Rattus norvegicus: one gene and its partner. The protein of the gene in region 1 purifies or fractionates together with the protein of each later gene. This does not show direct contact. Links are inferred from orthologs where the notes say so. Each region holds a gene or a part of one and is shown in the gene's direction. Other genes may lie near its edges.

Region 1 (4,227 bases):
AGTGAGGGGCTCTGCCCTGCATTCCAAGACTTTTCTTCCTGTTGGGAGCTGTCTTGGGTCCATCCCAATCCTGGGAGAATCCCAGTCCATGGCCCTGGCCCCCACCCCTAGGGACTGAGGGAGCCTGAGCGGGCCTTGTTTACAGCTTCTTCCCTACTCCTGCATCCTGCCAGGCTCCTCTGCCAGCCGTAGGCTTCCTTTCTCCCTGCACTTTTGCCTGCAGATCTCCCCTCCTGCCTCTTGACCCCCCTAGTCCTGCACTCTGAAAACCCCTCTGCACTTCTGGACGCCTCCCTGAACATCTAAATTGTACTCTGCACCTCCGCATCCCTCCCAGCCTCCTTGCACTTCTCCCTGCCCCTGGAATCCTCTGAACCTTAATTAACCCTGACCTCCCAACTTTCATTGTCTTGGTATCTAACCCATCCCTTTCTTCCCTTCCCTAACATTCTTTCCCCTTGCCACATCCCCTGACCCCTTCTCATCTTTCCCTTAGCGTCTTCACCCTCCTGCCAACACTTAGTCTGCAAAACCTGCAGTACTTAGGTCAGGCTGAGGGAAGAAGGATGGTGTGGGGAGAGGTCTGCCTAGCTAGGGGCTCTGACTGTTCTCTACTGGGGACCACCCAGGCCCAGATCATACCCCCACCCTAACCCCTAAGGTGCCTATTGGGTCGCAAAGCTGGCAAGCCAGACCTCACCTGGGGTACTTGCACAAGAGTGGGAGTCCTGGTTCTGAACATTCAGGGGAGGAAGGGGTATAGCTGTGGCTGAAGAGTCAGCCTAAATTGACCTGCCCATTTGGGCTTTTTAACCTCAAGAGTTTCTCGAAGGTCCATTTATGTGCTTTGTAAACAGTAGAATTTTAAAAAAAATTTAAAAAGGACCAAAGTTCTCAACTGCAGGGAGCAAGGGAAGGGCGCGAGCTCTGTAATATTCTCTAAGAGGACGAGGGAGGTTTGTTGCACGCGACAGCCCACTGAGGAGGCAGAGAGCCAGCTGCGATGCATTTCGGAGTTGGTCGGTGTTTTTTTTGTTTGTTTGTTTGTTTTCTTTCTTTAAAAAAAGTTGGGGGGAAAACTAAAATTCCTTTAAAAAAATAAAACTGAGTCTCCCTTTTTGTATGCTGAATGCTGCATGAGTCTTAAACACTAATAAACAGAGAATGCATGAGACTGGCCTCAGTTGGTCCCTGTGTTGGTTTGCAGAGTCAAGGTACTGCTTTCTGGCAGGCCCTAGTGAACGGAATACGCATGCGCTGCCGCAGTGGCCATCTTTAGTATGGGCCGAAGTTAGTGATGCCTGAGGGCCTCATTGCGCATGCGCAAGTGGTCTCTTTTTTTTTTTTTTTTTTTTTTCCCCTTCCAAGTAGTTTTGACTACCACGGAGCCTCCGCGCGCCATTTCTCTGCGCCTGCGTACTGCGATCCTGCGCAGCCAGGGAGGCGGGTTTTAGCTCCAGGTTTGTACCGCTGCTGAGTAGACGCGAACTAGGTTTGCCGGGTTTAAAAAAATGGCTTCCATCCAGGTGATGGAGAAGGCGATGTGAAAGCGAGAAAGCAGGCCCTTCCCTTTCCAGCTCCGAGCGTGTCTCCTGCCGGTCCCTGGGAACGGCAGAATTCTGGATCCGTGGGGTGGGGTCTGTCCTAGCAGGGACCTGAGCGCCCCCTCCTGGGGACCGTGCTCTGGCCGCAGTCAGTTGTTGGACTGCCTCGTTGGTGATTTCTTAGACCCCCACTTGATCTAAAGCCTTTTGGGTGAGGCACCCTGGTTTGGTACTCCAGAGTCTCCTATATTGCTGGGCTCTTCTCTAGTACTCTATGTCCCTTGCCCTGGGCCATGGAACCATTGCAGGCAGCACAGCGGCGCCTCTGTCTGAAGAAGGGGAAGTGACTTCCGGCCTCCAGGCTCTGGCGGTGGAGGACACTGGAGGTCCCTCTGTCTCGGCTAGTAAGGCCGAGGAAGAGGGGAAAGGCAGTCAGGAGGAGGCCGGGCGTGAGGCATCCAGGGCTGAGGAGGCACTAGAAGCTTCCAGCGCTGTGAGCGACGAGCGTGCCGAGGGAGAATCCGAAGACTGGTGCGTGCCCTGCAGCGACGAGGAGGTGGAGCTGCCGGCCAATGGGCAGTCCTGGATGCCCCCACCCTCCGAAATCCAGCGGCTCTATGAACTGCTGGCTACCCAAGGTACTCTGGAGCTTCAAGCGGAGATCCTACCCCGCCGGCCGCCTACTCCTGAGGCCCAGAGTGAAGAGGAGAGATCAGATGAGGAGCCAGAGGCCAAAGAGGAGGAGGAGGAAAAGTGAGGCCATGCTTTACACATTATTCACGGGACTTCTCTCTTGAACACTGAAACTGGAGGGAGGGGAGAGCAGGAAAGGGAGAGGCAGCGGGCTGGGGTATGCCAGCAGGTGTTTGGGAGAGCTTCTCTCACCCTTCGCTTTCTGTCCACCCTGTTTCAGGCCGCACATGCCTACAGAGTTTGACTTTGATGATGAGCCAGTGACACCCAAGGACTCACTGATTGACAGAAGACGTACACCAGGTAGGAATGAGAGGGAAGAATTGAGGGGAAGTAAAGGGCCTCTTTTAGTTACCTCAGAAGAGGGCTGGTCTGAGGCCTTGGCTGATTTCTGCCGTCATGCAAGATGGAGCATTCACACAGTGGCAGCCTATTTCTGACTTAGGTCAATGCTATACTTTTCTGTCAGAGACCCACAAACCTTCCCAAAAGTCCAAGATCTCCTGACATCCCAGCCCGTCGCCTTTCTAGAGTTTACTTTCAGAATCATTCTTGAGCTCTCTCCCAGCTGGTTAAGCCAACAGCAAGTTGCATTAATTAGCTCCACTTCTACAGTTCCACCTTCGATTTCTCTTGTTGACACTTTTCACAGTTCTAACTAGTATCCGCAGTCCTGGTCTTAGCAACCAGAGTAGTCCTTCTAAGTGAAGTCTTGTCTTTTCTCTGCTTGTACTCCTCCAGAGGATTCCATCACAGGGAAGAGCATGTCCAGTGCCTCTGCCCCAGTGCCCTGTACTCAGAATAAATCTGCCTCCTGCCCCAGGACCTTTGCACTTGATGGCTATGTTCCCCAGCCATTGCATTATGGGTATCTTAGCTTAATATCAGCCATCCTGTGTGTGGCCCAAACCTCAACATTTGCTTCTCTGTGCTCCCCAGGCCTAAAAAGTATGTATTTAACAAGATCTCTACGTGTAGGGGCTTGGGGATGCTCACTGGCTTAATGGTGTCACATTTCCTACCTTCTTAGGAAGCTCAGCCCGGAGCCAGAAACGGGAGGCGCGTCTGGATAAAGTCCTCTCAGACATGAAGCGACATAAGAAACTAGAGGAGCAGATCCTTCGGACCGGGAGAGACCTCTTCAGCTTAGACTCAGAAGGCCCCAGCCCTGCCAGCCCTCCACTCCGATCCTCAGGAAATAGTCTCTTTCCCAGGCAGCGAAAGTACTGACTGTTGCTGCTCTGGCCTACAGGTGCAGACTGTTTTGTGCTGAGCATGGCCGGCCTTTCCCATCCCAGGCTCTTGTAACAGAAAAAGCCTCAAGCTCCCAGCGCAGTGCCTTGCAGGAGAGTGTGTGTGTGTGTGTGTGTGTGTGCGTGTGCGTGTGTGTGTGTTGTTGTTGTTGTTGTTGTTGTTTAGTGTCTGTTTACAGTTTTGAGCTGGATATGCTGAATCTAATAAAAGATGCCTGATGATCTTTTCAGAGGAGAGACTGCCGCTCAACCCAAGCACATGTTCTTACTTGGGCAGAGGCAGAACTGTATCCCTCCACAGTGATATACTGAAGCCAGATGAGGCAGAGGTGCAGCCAGCCATCATCTAACACCTCCCCCTTACCCCAACCCCCCTGCCCCCCCCACCAGGTCCTCTGATTTCCTAGACTCATCCAACCCCACCAGTTAGCACTGAAGCAGAAATCGCCAGTCTGGGAGTATGAACCTAGCTGCTGTGTCTTCAGTGCATCCTGAAGGAGGAAAAGATCCAGTTGCAGGGCCCTTTAAATACCCAAGCTCCGCCCCTGCCGGCCCAGCCCTTTAGGGAAGTCCCGCTTGGTGAGGGAAATTCCTGACCTGTGGCTTGCAGCTGCCAGCTACCCTGCTAAATGTGAGTACAGATTGTGACCCTGGCGGGACCCCCCCAGACTCCAACCCAGGGGTCTGTTCCAAAGGCTCTCTCTAGTCTTCCTGCTTTTCAGAAATCTTTCTTGTGA
Region 2 (4,020 bases), on another chromosome or scaffold:
CTGTCCTTAAACTCCCTTTTAGCCAGATATGATCTTGTATTTCTGAGATCCTCCTGCTTCCTTCCATCTTCCGTGTGCTGGAATTACAGGTTTGTATCACTGTGCCTGCTTTATGCAGTGCTGGGGATCAACTCCGGGCTCTGTGCATGTTAGGCAAGCTCTATATCAACTGAGCTGTACCTTTAGCCACCTAATTTTCTTAATTTGTGTCTATTTATTTTGGTTAATTTGGTTATCAAAGGACTCTTCGTTTCATTAATCTTTTATATTTTTGTTTTAATCTATTTTATTAACACCTAACATTTATTTTGTCTTTCCTTTTTTTAAAAAAAATGTCTAAACATGTATTTACTTATTGTTTGTGTGAATGGGCTTAGTGTGTGTTTTAAGTTAGACAACAACTTGCAGTTTAATTCTCTCCTTCCACAATATGGATCTCAGAGAGCAAACTTAGCATCAAGCTTGGTAGCAGTCGCAGTTGCCTGCTAAGCCATCTCACCAGTCCTCCTATGTTTTTTGAGACAGTCTCAGGTGCCCAGGCTTAGAAATTGCATTCACTGCTTAACCATCTCATCAGTCTGTTATGGCTTTCCAGCTACTGAGTTTGGTTTGGCTTATTCTTGTTTTACCAAGACCCTGGCATATATCATTAGGTTATTTTTCTTTCTGTTCCTACTTTGAATTGGTTGCTAAATACCCACAGTTTGTAGGCCTTCTCAAGACTTGGTCTTTCTCCCGCTAAGCAGCAGCTTTTTTAGCCTTAAAAAAATCTTTATATTATTTGTTTACTTTTAATGTTATTAGAATTTTTAAAATGCAGCTGGAGAGGAAGTATAATTATTTTATAAAGGATTTTCTGGGTGCTGTTGTTTGAGACCAGAACTGAACTCTGCAGCCCAGGTGTGCTCAACTTGTGATGTCCCTGCTGAGACTTTAGGTGTGTGCTGCGAACACTCAGGTCCGTTCATTCTCCTGTGACACTTTGTATATTCCTCCCAATATTCTAGTCTTACCAAAAATGTAGCAAATGGCATTACGAAAGAAAATTTTATTTAGTAAATAAATTGCATCTTTTGTAGAAGTATAGATGTTTAGATATTTACTAAAATGATATGTTGAATATGTAATGATGTTATAATACTCTGCATCCTCTCCTCTTTTTTTTTTTTTTGAAGGTTTTCTTACTGTTCACTTTGCATATACTTCTGGACTAATACACCATGGTTTTGGATGACCTTCCAAACTTTGAAGACATCTATACTTCCTTGTGTTCATCAACAATGGGAGACTCAGAGGTGGAGTTTGACTCTGGACTAGAAGATGATGACACAAAAAGTGATAGTATTTTGGAGGATTCTACAATTTTTGTAGCCTTCAAAGGAAATATAGATGATAAAGACTTCAAATGGAAACTGGATACAATCTTACAGAGTGTGCCCGGCTTGTTACACATGGGTAATTGCGTTAGCTTTTGCCTCCTTCTTGTTGCTGTGTGCTTTGACAGTTTCCTGCCTACAGCCATGATGCTGGGATTACAGGGTTAGGCCACCATGCCTGGTTTGAAAAGTTTCTAGTAAAGTGTAACTGTATTGTAATTAAACAGTTTTTAACTATATTAACATTTAAACTAGTATGAAGACACCTGATGTGTGCAGAGCACAGATAGCTTTCAGTAATGATCAGATTGGAAGAAACTTTGGTGTCTCTGCCCTGTGGAACCAAGAGCCAAAGTTTTTCGGCGTGTCCAAATGTCATGGAACAGCAGTAGGCCTAACTCTTGGAGCTTGTTTTTACCTTCTCTGATTTCGCTAGGTACCTATAGCTTCCCACACAGCTCATTTAGCCTTTCTCTGGGCCACAGTTTCCTTCTTTAAGAGCACTTTAACTAAACATAGCCTAAGCACTTTTAGAGTTTGTGAGTATATTAATCCCACTGCCTTAGCAAGTGCTCTGTTTTGTTGTTTTACATTAGAACAAGTAAATTCTTTGTTCATATTTAGTATCTAATCGTGTAAGAGCTGGAATGGGCTTAAGTGGCATATAGAAACACTGTCTATAGATAACTGGATTTTGAGAAAGCATTTTCCATAAAGCCAATTTATTAATATTGAAAGATGTAATTTGAGCAGTGGCATGCGCCTTTAATCCCAGTATTTGGGAAACACAGGCCAGCCTTTGTCTGGAGTTGCCGGATATCTTTTATTTCCTTTCTTGTCTGTAAAATGTATTTATAAACAGTACTACCTCAGTTTACTTTGTAAATCTTTAATTGTAAAATACATATAATAGTTTGCCATATTCACAATTTTTATATATGGCTCAATGACACTGAAATACAATTAAAATATGCAACAATTACTAGTAGCATTTTTATAACTCTTATAAACTTCCCATTCCCTACCTACTCAAGCCCTTAATAAGCACCATTGTACTTTTTATGATTGTTTTTTAATTTAAAGTATTAGATTTATTTATGTATATGGTATTTTGCCTACATGCATGTAAATGCACTACATGCATGCAGTGCCCATAGAGGCCAGAAGAGGGCATCGTATCTGCTGGAACTAGAGCTACAGCCATTTGTGAATTGCCATGTGTATGCTTAGAATTGAACCTCAGACCTCTGGAAGAGCAGCCATTTCTCTAACTCTCCAGCCCCCTTTCTTTATTTTGAGTACTATTATTTACCTCATATAAGCAGAATTGTGTATCTTTATGACTGCTTTATTTCATTTAACATAATGTTCTCAGTGTTTGCCCATGCTGTAGCACATGATAGGGTTTCCTTCCTGTTTCAGGCCAAATATCCCACAGAATGTATGTATGTATATTCTGCATTTCACTTACTGTTATCTGTTGCTGGGCAGTTGGATTACGTCTGTGCTTTAGCTACTATGACTAATGCTACTGTAAATGTGGATATACTCTTCCAGATCCTGCTTTCAATTCTTTGGTCTGTATACTTAGAAATAAAAGTGCTATACTATATTGCTGGGGCCAGCCCTGACATTCAGGTTCTGAACAGCATCGGCCAAAAGCCAAAGGCTGATGACCTCTGGCCTTCTAACTCTCTCTTACTGTTTTGGGAGCCAAAAGCTGATTACTTTGGGCAATTTCATAGGGAAGGAAGAAGAAAGAAAGAAAGTCAGGCATGCACACGTATACACGCACACAGTTTGGCTGGGCCTAAACATCTGTCTCATCAATTTCACAAGTGCACGTGCATACTTACATGCATACACATATACTACATACGTATGTACAAGTATACATACATATATACATGTATATACATTTGGTGAATGGGGCAAAACCGCAAAAAGCCATACTTTATTTTTTCTTTCCACCTTTTTATGCCTTCTTAGACGAAAGTTCTTTATAAAATTACCTCACAGAAAAAATGTTACACAAAAGGGAGTTACAGAAGGATGTCTATAGTAAGTTCAGAGCAGTGTTTCATTCTGTAAGCTCATTATAAGTTCAAAGCAACAGTTTCCCATGGCCTCGCTTTACCATAGAGCACACTGTCTTCATCCTTGGACCTGACCTACAATGAATGGTTTTCCTTGATCACAAATCTGTCCTAAGCCGATTTCTCTTCTCAGTGTAATTTATGAAAGCTTATGGTATTCCTTATTCTGCAGCCTTTACTTACAATTCTATGAAGGGGGGCACATTCTATTTTTGATTCTAACACTAAAACTATCTCCTTAAACATTCTTTCTAAAACTATTTGAATTTTATAAAGTCATTAATTCATAAAAGTTCCATCTTCATGTTGATCTGCAGGAAATTTGCCCAATAGGGTGGGCTGATGCCCAAGAGTCATTAGCTATGTAATAATGGCAGGAAAGGCACATCAGCAGTGAGAACCAAGCCTGGGACAAAGTCTCTGGGGCTGTGCCTCCTAGAGTAACCCATCACAGCCATGCAAAATGGTGGCCATCTCCAGGAAGCTCACTTGATTGCCATAGACTTTCCTAGATGGCTTCTGTCATTGTATAACTCTTTTTTTTTAAA

The links. Proteins that work in one complex are often made in the same cells at the same time.
Region 2: the proteins of Pagr1 (region 1) and Ncoa6 purify together in Homo sapiens (affinity purification with mass spectrometry; 3 studies listed by BioGRID and IntAct, with this or other methods). This does not show direct contact. The link is inferred for Rattus norvegicus from reciprocal best matches to the Homo sapiens genes PAGR1 and NCOA6.

Annotation. Positions count from the first base shown.
Region 1 is NC_086019.1:191,052,728-191,056,954, reverse strand, and holds Pagr1 (PAXIP1-associated glutamate-rich protein 1), read left to right. Parts: upstream 1-1,454; 5' UTR 1,455-1,818; coding exon 1,819-2,297; intron 2,298-2,457; coding exon 2,458-2,540; intron 2,541-3,267; coding exon 3,268-3,467; 3' UTR 3,468-3,727; downstream 3,728-4,227. Other genes in the region: Prrt2 (proline-rich transmembrane protein 2), read left to right, coding at 1-5. UniProt on the Homo sapiens protein: Its association with the histone methyltransferase MLL2/MLL3 complex is suggesting a role in epigenetic transcriptional activation. However, in association with PAXIP1/PTIP is proposed to function at least in part independently of the MLL2/MLL3 complex.
Region 2 is NC_086021.1:164,388,976-164,392,995, reverse strand, and holds the start of Ncoa6 (nuclear receptor coactivator 6), read left to right. Parts: upstream 1-1,220; coding exon 1,221-1,455; intron 1,456-4,020. UniProt on the Homo sapiens protein: Nuclear receptor coactivator that directly binds nuclear receptors and stimulates the transcriptional activities in a hormone-dependent fashion. Coactivates expression in an agonist- and AF2-dependent manner.